Drosophila melanogaster: one gene and its partners. The protein of the gene in region 3 interacts with the protein of the main gene of each other region in a pairwise test. Each region holds a gene or a part of one and is shown on either strand. Other genes may lie near its edges.

What was found. The genes of interacting proteins can lie anywhere in the genome.
Region 1: the proteins of stops (region 3) and Mst84Db interact in a two-hybrid assay, tested with the Drosophila melanogaster proteins (one large-scale study listed by BioGRID).
Region 2: the proteins of stops (region 3) and CG10650 interact in a two-hybrid assay, tested with the Drosophila melanogaster proteins (one large-scale study listed by BioGRID).

The regions. Positions count from the first base shown.
Region 1 is NT_033777.3:7,363,468-7,368,089, reverse strand, and holds Mst84Db (Male-specific RNA 84Db), read left to right. Parts: upstream 1-2,462; 5' UTR 2,463-2,514; intron 2,515-2,567; 5' UTR 2,568-2,584; coding exon 2,585-2,809; 3' UTR 2,810-2,930; downstream 2,931-4,622. Other genes in the region: Mst84Da (Male-specific RNA 84Da), read right to left, coding at 1,911-2,063, 2,119-2,157; Mst84Dc (Male-specific RNA 84Dc), read left to right, coding at 3,561-3,728; Mst84Dd (Male-specific RNA 84Dd), read left to right, coding at 4,474-4,622.
Region 2 is NT_033779.5:18,991,668-18,998,445, reverse strand, and holds CG10650 (uncharacterized protein), read left to right. Parts: upstream 1-2,511; 5' UTR 2,512-2,591; coding exon 2,592-2,667; intron 2,668-2,733; coding exon 2,734-2,844; intron 2,845-3,424; coding exon 3,425-4,309; intron 4,310-4,454; coding exon 4,455-4,660; 3' UTR 4,661-5,086; downstream 5,087-6,778. Other genes in the region: CG31792 (uncharacterized protein), read right to left, coding at 1-166, 237-322, 391-467; CG46465 (uncharacterized protein), read right to left, coding at 5,215-5,787; CG15169 (uncharacterized protein), read right to left, coding at 6,334-6,778.
Region 3 is NT_033777.3:31,164,737-31,171,367, forward strand, and holds the start of stops (slow termination of phototransduction), read right to left. Parts: upstream 3,869-6,631; 5' UTR 3,738-3,868; coding exon 3,291-3,737; intron 2,690-3,290; coding exon 2,590-2,689; intron 1,724-2,589; coding exon 1,614-1,723; intron 1,544-1,613; coding exon 1,440-1,543; intron 1-1,439. Other genes in the region: Gycbeta100B (guanylyl cyclase beta-subunit at 100B), read left to right, coding at 6,273-6,597.

The DNA.
Region 1 (4,622 bases), about 24 Mb from region 3:
TTGATGTAAGCTTCAACGAAATAATTAATATGGGAAACGATGTAATCAAATACTTAAGAACTGTCCCCATCTTTAAGCAAACAGGCAATCAATGGACTATTCATTGTGATGACAAGCCGTTATTAAATTTCTTTAGACATCTCAAATTGATAATACGGATGAAAAGTGCTGAAATGAAACCTATGTTCTTGCACTCGTTAACCGAATTACCTAAGGGGTTTTTGAAGTTTTTGGGAAAGCACTTCATTTGGCTAGGTGTGAGAAAACAAGAATACTATTTGATCAATGAGGAACAGTTGTTGCAAAGTATGCATCGCAAACTAAACAACCTTAATACAATTATGAGCATCTATAAGTATATGGAATGGCTTCACCGAAAACTAATATTCGTCAATCGGGAGTATGATCTATTTTATATTCGTCAAATGGCAGCCCCCTGTCCTCATAAGTGCGAGTGTTGTTATAGCCGCGATTCACTTATTTTAAAAATAGACTGCAGGAATAAATTTGTATATAACTTTCCCGATATCGTTGCTAGAAATAGTCGTCTTATGTGAAAACAAAATATGTCTAGTCCTATGGAACTGCATTTATCTAAAAATAATATATCAAACATAACCATCGCAATGCTACCAAAGGAACTAAGGTTTCTTGATCTACGTTTCAATAATCTCGTTACCCTGGATGACAAAGTCCTGAGTTACCTTAAGAAAAATTCAATTAAAACTAAACTTTCTGGGAATCCCTGGAATTGCGACTGTAAGTCGAGATCAGTCCTTTCCATTTTGAGAGATCACGAACCCCTTGAGTATGACGTCACGTTGAAACGTTGCAATATATCTCCAACGGATTGTCCAGATGTTTGTGTCTGCTGCTTGGATAACTTGACATGGCCATCATTTATTGTCGATTGCAGAGGAGAAGGACTTCTACAGATGCCTTCACTTTCAAGCAGGGTTACCTATGTGGACCTAAGGAATAACAACCTTACGGCCCTGTCACAGAAGAATCGTTCTTCTATCGAGAACAGATCGTTAAAGCTGCATTTGCTTGACAATCCCTGGTCTTGTTCTTGCAACGATATAGAAAAGATAAATTTCATGAAGAGTGTGTCTTCAAGTATAGTAGACTTCACTGAGATAAAGTGCAGTAATGGTGAGAAGCTAGTCTCGATTAATCAGCATATTGTGTGTCCATCTGACCTCTTTTATTATTTGGCACTCGCGATCTCCCTAGTGGCCACGATCATTGCCTTAAACTTTTTGATATGGTTCAGACAACCGGTCCTGGTCTGGTTCTATGAGCACGGTGTGTGTCTCAGTCTGTCAGCCAAGCGGGAACTTGATAAGGACAAAAGGTTCGATGCCTTTCTGGCGTTTACCCATAAGGACGAGGCTCTGCTGGAGGAGTTCGTGGATAGGCTGGAACGTGGTAGGCCCAGGTTCCAACTCTGCTTCTACCTGCGAGACTGGCTGGCGGGCGAATCTATTCCCGATTGCATTGGTCAATCTATAAAGGACTCGCGGCGCATTATTGTCCTCATGACAGAGAACTTTATGAATTCCACTTGGGGTCGCCTCGAGTTCCGACTGGCCCTCCACGCCACCTCACGCGATCGGTGCAAGCGTCTGATAGTGGTGCTCTATCCAAACGTGAAGAACTTCGACAGTCTGGATAGCGAGCTAAGGACCTACATGGCATTTAACACCTATCTGGAGAGAAGCCATCCGAACTTTTGGAACAAGCTGATTTACTCGATGCCGCTACTACCAAGCTACGTTGACTAGGACATTACATTATTAATTTCAATAAGAAACAAAAATATATAATTTGTTGTCTCCCACACAGTTTATTTTTTGAGATTTACATAGTTCCCGGAAGTATTCCGACAGGTTTCCGGGTCAACTGGTTTAGCAGCAAGGACCGCAACCGCAAAAACTGCTGGTGCCGCCGCAGCAAGGTCCACATCCTCCGCAAGGACCACAGCAGGGGCCACACCCACCACAGCAGGGGCCACATCCACCACAGGGTCCGCATCCGCCGCAGGGGCCACAGCAGGGGCCCTGATAAATCATATTAAAAGTATTCACTCGACTTACGAGACCGATAAATACATACCCCAACCAAAACGTAATTCGGGTTGACGTACATGTACATGATTTTGTTTCTTAAAAGATATTTCCCAACCGGAATCGAAAGGAACCGAAAATTTAGGTGTTAACTATTGAAGGTGGAACGGAGAACTGACTGAATGTGATCCAAATTAGCCGAAGCTTCATTTGACAGCAGTCATGAGAATTTCAAGGCTAATATGATCCGACAAATTATATTCATTATTATTATTATATTCTGGTATCCCAAAACCCATAATCTAGTTAGCTATGGATATTTTCGACAGTTGTCAAATTCATATACCAACTTGTGAGTCAGGTTTCCATCATTCTTATTTTGGTTCTCGGCCTGTAATCATCGAAATATTTTTTCGTCCTAAGTTATTTCTTTGTTAGGTTCAAAGTGAGTATTTCTCAAAGTGTAAGCATGCGAAGTTTTAACAAAATTTTTCTTAGAACTTTACGGAACCATCATGTGTTGCGGACCCCTTGGATTCTGCGGACCCTGTAGCCCGTGCGGCGGTCCTTGCGGACCTTGCGGACCCTGTGGTCCTTGCGGTTCCTGCTGTAGTCCTTGTGGATCTTGCTGTGCGCCTTGCGGCCCTTGCGGTCCTTGCGGTCCTTGCTGCGGGGGCTGTGGTCCATGCGGGCCTTGTGGACCTTGCTGTGGACCTTGTAGGCCATATTGCGGGTGCTGAACAACAACCACAACATGTAAAATATCTTTTTCCTGTGAACCACAAAGTGGAACTTAGGACTGAATGCGGATAAACTCTTCTTAGCTCGCGGGCCTAGTCAATAAAATAAGAATTTCAAAATACCTTTTCCGATGGTTTTTCTCTTCTAAATGGTGCAACCTTTGTCTTAGCTATGGATACCAAATGCGTGACAATAATAATTTATGTAATATAATTGCGAAAATTAAAATTGTCAATTCTTGGTGGATTGCGATCGTTAGAGGGGGCGGAGGAACATCCTACGTTCATATCGACTAGGCTTGTGATCCAGCTCAAGAATAAATAACCTTTTCTTCTATTCACTATAGCATAGCTATTACTCTACGAGTGGCGGGTATAAAACCTGCAACCGTGAATTTAAACCTCATTCAATAATAGTATTTGTCTGCAAACGGACAAATGTCCGATAACAATAATTCTATAACAATAATAACTATTTTTAACCATCAACCGCTGTACATAAACATAATTCGAATTCATAGTAGGCTATGGAAATCGTTCTTGACCTGTCAGACCCACCTAACCTTGTAAGTTCGGAAAATATATCATTCTCATCTCGACCCTTGTGCTGCTCGCATCAAAATTTTGTTGTTTTGTCCCAAATACTTGTTTTTTTTTTTTGGCTTCTAAAGACCGTTGGTAAAAATGTTTATTGTAAAGTTAAAATAGTATACATATTTATTTCGTTTATTTTAGACTTCTCGAATTAATCATGTGCTGTGGACCTTGTGGATCGTGCTGCGGATATTACTGCTGTGGTCCCTGCTGTGGACCTTGTGGACCCCGATGTGGGCCGTGCGGATCCTGCTGTGGACCCTGTGGACCCTGTGGACCTTGTTGCGGACCATTTGGCAGTTGTTGCGGTGGCTGTTGGTGCTAAATGCTCGCAATTGGCAGCCGAATCGATTTGTGAAACCATACCACAATCCCACCATGGTTAAACTAACACCTGAAAGTTAAAAGCCACAAATATATATATATGTATCTTAATGCAGATCCATGTTATCATTGGGATAGTTCACCATTGCTCTTACTCGGCGTTACTCGTTGACATAATAGGAATGCGTTTCGTAATATGTATGTGGGTGTAGGTTTCTTGATCAGGAACACTAGCCGGATACTAAGCGAGCAGATTGTATTGCGCTGCGAGCACAAGTTGCTATATGGAAATGGTTGAGACGTTCTTGGTAATACCATTTTATTTTACACGAATGACGTCTCAAGGTGATTGATTCTGCCTTCCGACGAGCTTCACTAGGACGTTCTTTGTTGTTCCCATCTGGATCAGTTGTACTGCTTGCTACGGCAGGACATTTTCTTAAGCACGTTATTGTAAAATTCACTAAAGAACAAAATTAAATTCCTTTTAGGGCATTGATATAAAATTTTTATTAATTTTGCATTTGTTTATTTTAAATCTAGAAGGCTTTGAATCTATATTCTACTTTCCTGTGCAAGTTCTATGTAAGCAAACATCAGTTTTCATCTTTCCCTTAACCCAAGAACATCAAAATTTGAGCTCTTTTCCAAGCTTTTTAGGTTCAGCACTTTGTACGTAGTTTTTTATTTAAGAAAATTGTTGGTATAATAGCTTTTCTTTTAGTTCTCAGAAATTAAAAAAAAACATGGGCTGTGCACCGGGCGGACCTTGCTGCGGACCCTGTGGACCGTGTTGCGGACCCTGTTGTGGACCCTGTTGTGGACCCTGTTGTGGACCCTGTTGTGGACCTTGCGGGCCCTGCTGTGGCCCCTGTGGACCTCGTTGTGGCCCTTG
Region 2 (6,778 bases), on a different chromosome or scaffold from region 3:
AACATGGGCTGCACCGTGAGTATAACCTCCAGGCAGAAGAGAACCAATCCGAGGAAGACGAAGTACCGACCAAAAACACGAAAGAGTACTCTGAGCAAACTGGCGTTCTTCTTGTTGGTCTCCAGTTCATTCGCCCAGGAAGAGCATAATTTGTTGCCGAGCGACTCTTTGCACAAAATAGAGATATGAGGATGTATATATGAAAATATTATTATATATACACCAAAAACACTTACCGGCCCTATGCTCTTTCAAGGCCCTGTAAAGGTCCTTTGCACCCAATGTGACCTTTTGCCCCTTAATAAAAGTGGGAATGGTATACCTGAATTATTTGAAAAAATTGTTCACACTTGAAAAATATGTTGGCGTCGCACGTTTGCACTATCTTACCAAAAGGATAACGCAGAAAAAATATTCGATCGTTCTCGAGGATTCTCCGGGAGATCTTCATTCTTAAAGGACTGCATTTTATTACGATTACTACGTTATGTTTCGCTACATAACAAATATTATGCAAGTGAAACAATCCAGACAGCAAGAAATAAATTTGAATTAATGATTTTCTAATCAATAAGTAATTAGCCATTAAACAGCTTGTCTAAAATGGGACAGAATACGATTGTCGAGCTACCCGACTATCAGATACCTGCTACTCAGGTAAAATTTATTCCACACGCCTTCAACGTCACTGGCACTTTAAAATCTTGAACTTCTACTATAATATAATGACCAGCATTTTTGGTCTTCTGCAAAGAAGTCGTTACCAAGAATCTAAAGCTTTTTGTAATTTGTTGACGTAGGTTTCCGAGATCTCGACGCTTATATGGACAGACATAGTCGGATCGAATGATCAAAAATATTTATACCTTCTAGGCTTGAAGTCACTTGCACTTTTCAACGTATAACATGCTTTCCAACGAACTAATTTATTAAATTGCAATGCCAGAAATTCAACTAAACAGCAATACGTCCGCGCGTAGAAAAGATCTTAAAGGTACTGAGTGTGAGCAACATGATTAGCTCTCGGTGCTAAATTCGCCGGAGATAACCCAGATTAGATTTCGGTTATATTTTTTGAAGATAATGGCTTTATGTTGAATACCAGTCTGGTTCAAAAAAACCTTAAATGATATGCTAAAGATAAAAAGATATAAAAGTATGTACTTACTATTTGTACTTTGTTTTATTGAATCATTTTGTCTAGACTTCAACTTAAACCTTAATAACATAAAACACCGGCATGTGCAGAATTTAAGAAGTCGCCCAAATACAATAAATAATAATAATTTTTATTAAGACACTGAGAGAAAAATTAAGTTTCGATATTAAATTAGGAACGAACGATAAAAAAAAAAAAAACTTAAAAGCAAACACATAAGTTCAAGAACGAGTAACCGAAATTATAAACTTGAGAACGAACGTTCACATATAAACAAAAGTCTCACTTCAATCCTCAAGTATCGTTAAGATATATGACTTGTAGTTAAGGCACATTGTTTATATGTTATTAGCCAGAAAATTGGGCAATACAGCTTTACATATATAATTGTACACTTTCCTCGTAGAATATAAGGGTTAAAAACTATGAAACAAGAAAGTGTTTTTGACCCTACAAATGTGTATTTATTCAATTAAATCTGGGTATCTGATAGGAATTGAGTTCTTTCTTGTTAGTTCAAATTACATTATTTTTTTTATCAATGGAACTATAGTCAATCCATAATCAAATGGAAAGTTTGTCGAACCTGTAAAATCTGGAAATTGAGATTATTCATGCAGTTTTTGGTGGCGCCTTTTATTTTTATACCCTTGCAAATGGTACATTGATTTCATTCAGATTCGTATATTCAACAGTAGAGTCGATACAGTCATGTTTGTCTTCGTTCAATTTCAGTTAGTATACATATAGGTTGGACCACTATATCATATTGCTGTTATAGGGATAATCGAAAAATAATGGTAAGTATTAATATATGTATGAGATATACAACAGTTTTTGACCATATTTTAATTTGATGAAAATCAAAAGAAAATATATCATATAACTGCCGTACAGCCAAGGCAAACCAAATTTTAATTAAAGTATTTAATTATCGTTATAATTGTGTTCAATTATCCGCCGGCTAGATCGGAAACAGGAAGTTACTGTTGATGTATATTCGTTTAAGGAAATACGGTAAGAACGTTGGCAGCATGGGTTAATTTTTCAGCTTTTGCAAAAGCTCCAAAGTAAATGCAGGCTTGTGGTAACTATCATCGCATGTGAACAGCGTTGTACACACACACACTTGCACATTTACACCTGGGTATTGAAGTTATCAGCTAAAAGAGAACTGACTTCCTCCGATTGTACATATATATATATATATATATATATATGTATACAAACATATATATGTGTGTAGAGCAGATAACCACTGCATGCGGAGAAGAGCTTGGCAGGTGTTAGTGAGTTCAGGTGAAATTGATTATGCGAATGGGGGTAAAAAAAATATGGCCAAACAGTGAGGGAGCCAGTTAAAAAACGGTGGTCGATCCAGCCGGTCCGACATTTCAGTTGAGAAGCCAGAAAGAATAGAAAACCGAGAGCCATGAGAGAATACAGCCTGTGTATGATTGTGATAGCAGCTTTCATTGCCAGCCAGCTGGACAGCACCTCAGCCCTCCGTAGGTTACCACATTTTGGATGAGTTTTTTCAAATGACTTACTTCAAATTATTATTGCCATTGCAGAGTGCTATTCGTGCACATCGACGACGAATGACACTGGAAATTGTTTAACGAGTCCATCTACTCAAACTTCTATAGAGTGTGATAATGAATGCTATACTCTTATTAACGCAGGTGGGTTTGTATGACTCATGACCGACTATTTCATATTCTTAGACGGGGGTAGTGGCCCTCTTATCGATCAGTGCAACCAAAGGTGATAAGCGATTATCTCTTTTTCTTTTTGATAGCTATTGATCCTTGTTTTCTTTTCTAATTTCGTGCGGATCGAAAAAGGTTTATGATGTTGTGACTCATTTGGCAGTTACTGCACTACCTGGCTTTTTCGTGTTGTTGTCTAAGATTTAAATATTGCGTATAATTTGATTTAATAACGAAGAGAACGCTAAAGTGGAGTCACTCGACCATCAGATACCTCTTTATTCAGCTTGTGGGAGTTTAAGGTACACATTTAAACATTCTGTTGAAGTATCAGTAGAATCTGGCACGCTTTGTGGGCTTTAGAGTGGGCGTGAAAATGATCTGAATGAAATTAGCACAGCTTAGGCGCCACTAGAATCTGCAGGCTCTCAACTTATAAGGAATATATAAGTTATATTAGAAATCATTATAAGTTTATATTAGAAATCATACGAAGTTTTGCTCTGAACCATATTCCCTTGCATCTAGTTATTGATTTTCTGTATCCCAATAGGAACTCTAACTCGTGGCTGCTTGATTAATGGCACTGCGTGCACCTTACCATCCTGCTCGACCTGCAAGGAAGACAATTGCAATTTGAATTTGGTGTGCCAGCAGTGCCTCGGCGAAGCGAATTGCGCCACGACCAACGTGACGGATACGCAATACAATGCAGTGTGCCCCAATAATGGACAGGTCTGCGTGAATCAGTTGAATGACAACAAGACGGTGACCCGTCAATGTGGTGACCCCTGTGCTGCTGGAACGGAATCCACGTGCTCCTCATGCTCGGCATCCCTGTGCAATGTGGGACTATTCCCCGCCAATCGTCGCCAGTGCTATAATTGCTCAGGAGAGAACTGCAATGCGGTCTCAAATACCTTGGTCGCGGGATGTAGTCAAATCGATGCCGGGTGCTTCACCACCGGAACGTCTGCGAGCAACATGACCCGTGGTTGCACATCGGCCACCACGGAAATCAAGTGTGCGTCGGACAGCACTGATCCCAGTTGCCTCGTCTGCAACTCCGACTTTTGCAATAGTCCGACCTACGAACGAGAGGCCGGTTCCTGTATCATTTGCGAGAACTGTGCGGAGCAACAGGTTGCTACCAATGCGAAGTCCTGCGGACAGGCCAAGTACAACCAGGAAGTCGGGTGTTATACCATGACCTCAGGAACCAATGTTACCCGAGGGTGCCTAAACACCTTGGAGGCTGGCTGCTCTACAACCAATGCCTGCACTTCCTGCTCCGAAAATGGCTGCAATGTGGCTGCCGGCGAGTTCCAGTGCATTACATGCATTTCGAATGAGGTTTCCGGCTGCTGGTCGGCCAAATATCCGGACACGCTCCCTTTGATCAACTGCCCCAATGGAACGTGCTACAGCGGAGTCTGGAGTAAGTTGGTACCAAGTCTAAGCACAGCGAATCAATGCTATAGTTTTCAAAGATTTTATTTTATAATGTAAAAGGGTATTCCCAAATTGCATTATTATTATGCCAGCAAAAATCCTAACAATTGCCTTTCAACATTTTCCCCCAGATGAACTTGGAGTGCGAGGATGTTTTACCGCTGCCAGCCACCTGATGCAGTACCAGTGCAATGCCAAAGTGGAGGCCCATCAGTGCGAATTGTGTACGGAGAGCAAGTGCAACAAGGTACCCTTCAATGGAGCAGGCGCACTCAGGAATGTGGGCGTGGTCGGCCTTCTGACGGGAGTGGTGATCGCTCTACGCAGTGCCCTGTAATCCAACCACCTCCACGTAGTTGGATGATCCAATCAAATTACCGGGTGCCTGGGTCTATGAGTAATGTTAACTATTACAAAGCAACAGACAAAAAGACATAACCTAATTATAGGAGCTGAAGCATTTTAAGAACACTTCCATAATCCCAAATAAATCATTTTAATAAAACAATTACTCTTTCACAGTAGTTTAGTAATTATGTCCTTGGAAAACCCTGTTTTCATTGATGGCTAGTGGTAAAAGAGTTTTCAACCTGCTAGGCCTTATCAAATAAAGAAATAATCACAACGCCTTATCAACCGCAGTACCATTAATAATATACTTTGTACATATATGTGTGTATATTTATTGCATCAATCAAAATGAGAGTTTATATTAACAATAGTTCGAAGAAATTTGTTTGGGTGCACTAGAAGAGCCAGTTGGAAATGTCTCAGAAAGTATTTGTAGCATTCTTAGGTAACTCAAATTACATTTTCCATTACATGACGATGGTGATTTCGCCGAATTCCATAATTTTGGTTTTCAATTTGCCATTATTAAGCTGAACAGGCCTATAATATAATCATAAGTTTGCATTTTTCACTCCTAAAGAGCCAGCCGGCTAAACAGAAGATCATTAGACTTGAGTATATTATTCGCGATCCTGCATTCGTGGCCAAACCATTTTTATCTATTTCCACATAGTTGCAATCGTCTTCGAAACACCTCTCACAGAGTTCTGCATGTTTCTCGCAGTGTTCCAGTGAACTCTCGTCCATGTCGGAAATGCAGCTTCTCACCATAAAGCCATCTGGTCCTCCAGCACTGCTGTTGAAGTTGAAGTACATAGATACGCAACCGTTCAATTCGCCTAACTTTATGTGGCACATCTTTTTGCCCTTCCTAGTTCTGGTTTTCCCCTCATTGGGTGAGCAAAATTTACAACTGAGGCATCTTATAGGCGGAGAAAGCGTTGTTGTTTCCTCGACAGGTGACGAACTTTCCTCCATTCCGGTGGTATGGTCTGAGCTCATAGTGGACTTTACGGTGGGTAACACTGTACTTGTTTGCTGCTGGTAAAGTCCCTGGACTTCGAGGACTGACAGTATAGTAAGTAGAATAATATTATTGGAAAGCAGACACATTCTTAAACAAAACGTATTTAATTTCTAGATATATTCAATTTTGGTTCCGCTGATCCGTGCTTATAGACACGCTTCGATGACTTAGCCAACTGCAGTCTAGGTTCTGTTGAGCCATTTTATATCCTCTAAATGATATGGTTTCAGGAAACGTACTCAAGGGACCAAATTTAAAAACCGTTCCCAGTATCCCTGATCCATTAAGCAGCTGCTGAACAATAATTATCTTGTAATATAAGTACTAGTTATGTTCTCAATCAAATGTTTCGCCTTGAAATGCTTTATTTTATATACATTTGCATATTAAGTACAGTATATTTCACTATTTAAGAAAGAAAACGAAAATCCCCACGCGCTGCAAATAGATTAAGTTTCGTAACAGAAATTTATATTAATTGGGCTTATGTATTTCATAGATAAACTAATTTATCTAGACAGACAGCGATATAATCTGCGATTTTCAGTATTAGTCATACCTATCGATTTTTAAGTATGCCAATCTCCATTTACTTTTTAATTGTTATGACTCAGAATAGCGTGGGTGGATTTTTAAAAAGCCACCTGCCAGCTAACCAAACCGATGCTCCAGATAAGGAATAGCACCCCCGGATGATGGGTGACTGCTGCAGAGCCCGGAGTGACTTCATATTCAGTCATGTTGTGAACATTACAATTGTCCTCGTAGCACGTGGGACACAGCTTCTCATTCTCGGCGCAATAGCGAGATAGCTCCATATCTAACTCGGATACACAGCCCCGATGCAGGAAGTACTTCTTCCCCGGAACGACATTGGGATCGTTGAGCAGTATGGTGCGACATCCATTCCTTTTGCCAGGTATCGGGCCGCAGTTTGACTTTGTTTCATTGGTGATCGTTTTGTTGCAGAACATGCAGGAATAGCAGCTTAGGGGTTTCTGTTCTGGATCTGCAACTGGGGGCTTGTGTGGTGCCAAGGTTGTTTCTTCTGGGGGTGGAGTTGTGGTGTCCTCCTGG
Region 3 (6,631 bases):
GTTTTTTTCTCAATAAACAATTAGGTTTTAGTGTTTTGTTAAACACCCTTTTCAGGTGTTTTCTTTGCAAATCCGTTACTGTTGCATTAGAACCCTAACATCGTAAGTAAATTGTGTAAATCTCATTGTGAGCTTTTAGCTTCAACACAATTCCTTTTCACGAGTGTTCACTGTTCTGCGAAAACTTTGGCAATATGCTGCTCCAGCACTGATTTATGCAACTTCAACGGCATTTGGCCGAAACGTTTATTGTCACATTGCTTGTTTTTCTCAGCTCTTGGGTCGCACACTCCACACACACACTCCCAATCGTACACCCACATACATTTGCAGCTATTGACGCTTATTCATGACTTTGGCTGCTGTTTTGCGAGAGGGCATCATAAATGTCGTCTTAATGCTTGCCAGTCAGTATGTTTTTTGCCTTCTGTTTGTTTAAGAAGCGCAAACAGTCAACTCGGCAATGGTATGGGTATGGTATATCCAAGGGGGCGGGCTGTATCTGTGTGGATTAGTGGGCGTGGTGGGGTTGAGCATGCCTTTGTGCGCTTATTACACGCATTTTTGACTTTAATCCTCCGAAGTGCTGGCGAACAAAGCCGAAATAACAAAAGGTTTACATCGCTGCCTGTTGGTTTTCAGCTTATCGCATCAGCGACACTCACACACGGACCTCATGTGCATGTGGGAGGGTCGGAAAAAGAAGGCGGAAAATGGGAAACCCCCCCCCAAAAGCAAGCTGCAAATGAAAATCTTAATTATACATGACACCAGCAGAAGTGAGAGAAAGCCACCGCCAGTGATTGAGAGCCATTCTCTGTAAAAGTGTATTCGCAGTCGTGTCTGTGGTTGTAAATTGTCGCCATCTTTCACTCAATTATGGCAGTCACACACACACACACACTCTGTGTAGGTGCCACAACAATGGCTGATGAATTAATTTAATTAAAATCCTTTCATTTCTCTGGTTACCCTTCACGTTCGTCCACCATTTCCTTGCATTCCCAGCGGGTATTTATAGTATCTTATTGTTACCGAAAACATTATTATTGTGTGGAAAACTGGCAAGCCATTAAGATTGATCGGTATCTCGGCACATAATCCGAATTTTAAAGTTTAATCTTTAATTCTTGGCGATTTGCTTTGTAAGCAACTTATAATTTGCTCTGATAGCCATAAGCTAAGTGTATAGAAAGGCTTACTGTGACTGTTATGAAAGTAAGAGCTCTCCATAAATGTCCAAGCATACAGCTAGTATGAAAAACTCTTTGGGGGAATGAAGACCTCGGCATGGCACCCAGGCAACTATCCAATTAACCCGGCTAGTGTGAAAATCGCTCGAGGCAGCAAAAGAGCGCGACACATGAAAGAGTGAAGAGGGGGGAGTGGGGAAAAGGGGAGAATGTCAGGACAGGATGGGGACCGGGCTGAGGACTCACCTGAGCTGTCGCTCCTGCTCGAAGCGCGGAATCCAGACGGGCAATGTGAGCTGTTCGCGTGTGGCGTGCTTCAGAAAGTAAACCATAGCCCGGACATTCTCGTGCTGCGAACAAAGGACATACATGGGTGTCTATTCCACGGGGCCAGGAATAGGGTCTTTCTGCCAGTCTCACCTGATCCTGAAAGTCACTGCGCCAGCCGGCGATGAAGTGCGGAGCATGTGGTCCAAACAGGGCGCCCAGGAAAATGCGCTCATATGTCTTCTCGCACTCGTAAATGGCCACTGAATTGCACAAAAAGGGGATAAATTAGTCATGGGAACAGGAAAATAGTTAAAAGTTAATTTATATAAAACAAGCCACGTTTAATAACATTTCGAAGTGGGTAATGCCATAAACCAAATTTGTATACACATTGTGACCGATTTTCCCGCGATGCAGGCAAATTGTCGGTAGTGGAGAAAGCGGTTAAATAATGTCATCAAATCGCAGCAGCGCAGCCATAAAAAAGCTAATTACGTGGCTGCACTTGTTGCTGCTTTGGTTTTTTGGCTTTCGGTTTCGTTGGCTTTTTGGCACAGCCCAGAAATGAAGTCAGCGGAAAACGGAAACGGCCACAATGTTTGCCAAACCAAGGCCAGCGGGTCCAAAAGGCTGGAGTCAGCAACAAAGCAACTTGGTGAGTGAGGACAGGACAAACAAGGAGCAAGTTTTATTGCACACGAGTCCAGATTCCCTGACAGAGGCATGCCATTAATTCCAGGCACTTTTCCTGCTCGCAAAAGTTTACGCAGCCTTTTAATTAGAGGCAGCCAACATGCGTACGCCCCAAATAACTTGCAACACTTTGAGGCACTTTACAAGTTTTACGATGCAGCAACAACAGAGCAACAGAACGACATCAGCAACACTTTCTTAACGCAATTAGCAGAAACACGTGATTAAAGTGAAAACTGCCTGCTTATGGGCGTAATAATCCGATGCGATGGGATGATATTTATTAAAGTATGCAAAGCACACAGCCACGCCCAAAAAGCAAACAGGAAAGTCTTGCCACACACACACGCACACTCACTCGCATACGCTTACGCACACATACGCATACATATGCATTTAAATTAAATTATTTAGTTGGCCCGACTCCACTTACCCAGCAGCTTGACGACCACCTCCGAGTCCCGGACTCCCCAATCCCAGCAGGTGCGCAGTCCGATGTACAGGATGTTGTGATACTTGCCCATGAGGCAGACCTGGGGAATACGCATGGAATGGAGGGTGTGGTGAAGGGGCTGAATCCCAACTGAAGTGCTACTTTTTAAATTATAAATAATTGCCATATGAAGAGATGGCATTTAAAATGGAAGAAAATTAAGTTTAGCAGACTCTGCCAAAGGAAATTAAGCCCGAAACAACTTTCCATATTTATTTACACTCTAAAAGGTCAATTGGATCGCAGCAGCAGGATATACATATTTATGCATAGTTTTAGTACTTTTCTAACCGTTTTCTAGAAAGCTTTATTAAATTCCACTTTTATTCGACTCAAAAGCAAAGCAATGTTATTTGGCTAATTAATCATTGGTTTCCATTCATAAGGCTTGGTTTAAACATTAACATTTATTTAATACGACAACGAAATAGACTGACTTGGCTTTTGTTCTAATTATTTATTTCGTTTTTTTAAGTACCGGAAACTAATTGTCAAATCATTATTAATTAAGTTGAGCTTTGCTAAAGCCCAGTGCTAGTTTGTATGGACTCTTTTAAGTAAATATTTATTCATATTAACTATTGAAGTTTGGCACACAGAAATGCCACATTGGCAACACTCGATTTGTACATAAAGCTCACCTGGCCGTTCTGCTCCTTGGCCATTCGGTGGTACCTCATGGCCGCCGTCACCGCGATGGCGGCCACCTCATCCGTCTGCGAGTTCTGGCCGCCGCTGCAGCCCTTGATGATGGAGCTCAGGTGGTCGAGGACATCTCGCCGCGACTGGCGGTCCTGCAGTCCGTTGCGGGAGATCTGCTCGAAGGTGTCGTCGAAGAAGCACTCGAAGATGTAGTCCATGACCAGATGGCGGCGCTGGGTTCGCCGGTTCCGCTGGTGACTGGCCCTATTGGCAGGATTCCGACGCAGTTGTTCCCGCACCCGCAGACGCAGCCGTGCCCGTGACTCAGTTTCCCGGCGGAAACCGTAGAAATGCCGTGGAAATGGCAACCAGCAGCGAACCCACACAAATTGGCTTTTTAATTGACTTACCAGCCGCTGGAAAGCCTGTAGCAACTGCGAAAGCATATTGCAAACAAAATTTAATTCACTTTAAGTAGGCAAATATTTTCGATTGAGCTGAATTGATGATTCCCTCCAAAGAATTGAAATTCCGCTTCAAAAAAACTCCCGCACCGCTGAAGCCAAAGAGTCGCAATACACAAAAAAGAGAGAATTTCTTTTGCGGGGGTGACTCTCTTGCGCTATCGATTTTTTGCAGCTGGCAATGATGTGCTGGGAGAACTTTTGATAAACATAAACAACTCATAATGAGCATGCGGAATATTCATTTTAATATTTTTAAGCATTGCAATCATATAAGAAAATAATTACATAGTATGTAAAGCTTATTCAAAAGCTGATATACAGTTCAATTACTTTTTAGGCCTCTTTATTTCCGTGAAGCTCCCAGCAAAGCAATTGGCAAACAGGTGTTTGATTACCAGCCGACAAGTATATTTCTATGAGCTCTTCAAAAACCGAATGGAACTCGAGGACTCCATTGAAACTGATTCGATTCGATTCAATTCGATTGGTTTTTGCTAAACAGTCTATTGCACTTTGAAATTTGCTGGCATTTTTCCGAACCATTTATTCACTGCACGCAGCGCACTCACACAATTTTCCACCCCACTCATCAGCTGCCGCTGGAAAACTAAACAAACGAAGTCCAATTTCTAAGAACGCTCAGCTGTTTACCTAAGCGCTCACTCTCCCGCTTTCTCTCCACTCTCTCTTTGTACAGAGAGTAGCGGAGGTATTAAATACGCGTTTCATGAGCATAAAGCTAAATTAGATTCTAAATTGGAATTTTCAATTTAAAATATATAGTACATATGTATGCTCTCACATTATTTTTGTGCTAAATGGGTAATGTTTGGCGATAAGCATAAAATCAAATGGCGCATAAAAACGCAGGTTTTTGTGATTTTGCAATATTAAACTGAAAAATAATTGGTTTGTCATTATAAGGATTATGCTTGATTCAACAAAAATATATTTATTTCGAAATAAATACTGATGGTGTGCTGTTTAATGTTTCAGTGCTTTTTTCGGTTTAAATCATTAATGAATTTGATTTTACAACGGAAAACTGAAAACTAATACAAAGTCACTCGATACTTCATTCCAGAGTGAAACCGATATTATCATAAAGCGAACCGCTTTAAGCTATCTTTTTAGAGATTTACTAATCCCCCTTCAATGAATCCATTACATTTTCAAGGGGATCATTTTGAAATAAATATTGCAACAAATATTCATATACACGGATTTAAATCTGTAAACAATAGGAGTGTTTTCTCGAGCTTTAGCCACGTCAAATGTATTTTAAAACACGACTCCAATTGTCATGTAAATTTCTCAGCTACAAAATAAATTCATATTTTAAATAGCAATTGTGCACATTGTTTACATGTTTTTCTATCACCCTTTGCCAATTAATATTTGTTTATGCGGGACATATCAATTTTCCCATACATTATTCAGGCCCACTCATTCCATTATTCGCCGTATTTGCACGTTTAATATTTGGGCTGACAATTAAGCGCTGGGTAAATATTTAAGCACTGCCATAAACATTAATTAAGAACGCACACCAAGGGATCCAGAGATGATGACTGGGATAATCATGTCTGGTAGGGATTCCTCGGGTCCTTCGCCTTAATCGCATATGCAAATAAGTGTCGAAGGACATTCGGCACAGTGTAATTAACTCAGGTCCATTAAAACGGTGCATATTTGTGCTGGTTACCCAGGACAACATGGCAATATTTTCACCTGAACAGGCTCACCTGAGCGCTAATTAAAAGGGCAATGCAATTGTGGCCATATGCAGGCTATCCGATGCCGCAAAGGTAGCGAATTAATTGAATTAAATTCGTATCCAATCAGCGGCGTATTGGCCGTAAATATATGAGTCCGAATAAATGCAACAATGTGTGGTTGCACTGTGGTCGAGCCAAGCGGAAGCGGAAATGCACACAAGCCTGGCGAAATTTTTATTTCGCTTCCGTTTTATGCTGCACTCGATTGTGCGGGCACATGGAGCACAATAACCGAATTTACATAATTTCTGGCGATGCAATCTAATAGCTGAATAAGGGGTCTCCCACTGTGGAAATTACGATGGCAATTTATTGGTGTGCAGATTGAGAAAAAAAAACGACCCCCGAGATATACATCATTCAGAGTGCATTATGGCATCAGACCAAGTCCACAACGGAACTCCCTAACTCGAATTTATGTGACTGCCAAAGGAGTCACATCTCAAATGTTAAGCACTACTATTCTTTGCTTACTGAATTTGCTTGCATCTTAAAGATATAGCTTATACATAACGTTCTGTCTTTATTTCTCTTCGTAAGTGATATTAAAACTCGGTGATTACTTTGTAATTTTGGATAGAATTATTTACTGCGCTACTCTACTTAAGAAAGTTTTATTTACGAAATTTCAGTTTACACTATACTAAACCCCAAAGAAGAATAACAGTTGAGTTTACACAGTGCCTTCCGCCCTGAAACTTATGGCATCTGCCCCTTTTTCCTTTCCTTTTTGCAGGCTCCTCTGTATGGCGATCAACCAGGATGATTCGTTCCACTTGGAGTACCGCGGACCCGTTATCATGAAGGGCAAACCGACGCCCATGGACTGTTGGTTCCTGACGCGTGCCACAAGCAGCATTTTGGGAGGCACTTCCTCGACCGGAGGCAGTGGCGGCGGAGGAAACGGGAGCTTGGATTCGCCGCTGCTGCAGCCAGCCACTCCGACCGCTGGCGCGGCCACGCCCATTCCCGTAGTCGCCCAGCGGGCAGCAGGACATGCCAGCGTGTCACGTACTTCGTCCGCAGGAGGAGGAGGAGGAGGAGCGGTTGTGGGCACATAGGAACTGTGCAAGGACTCGTCCTGCTGCTGCTGAA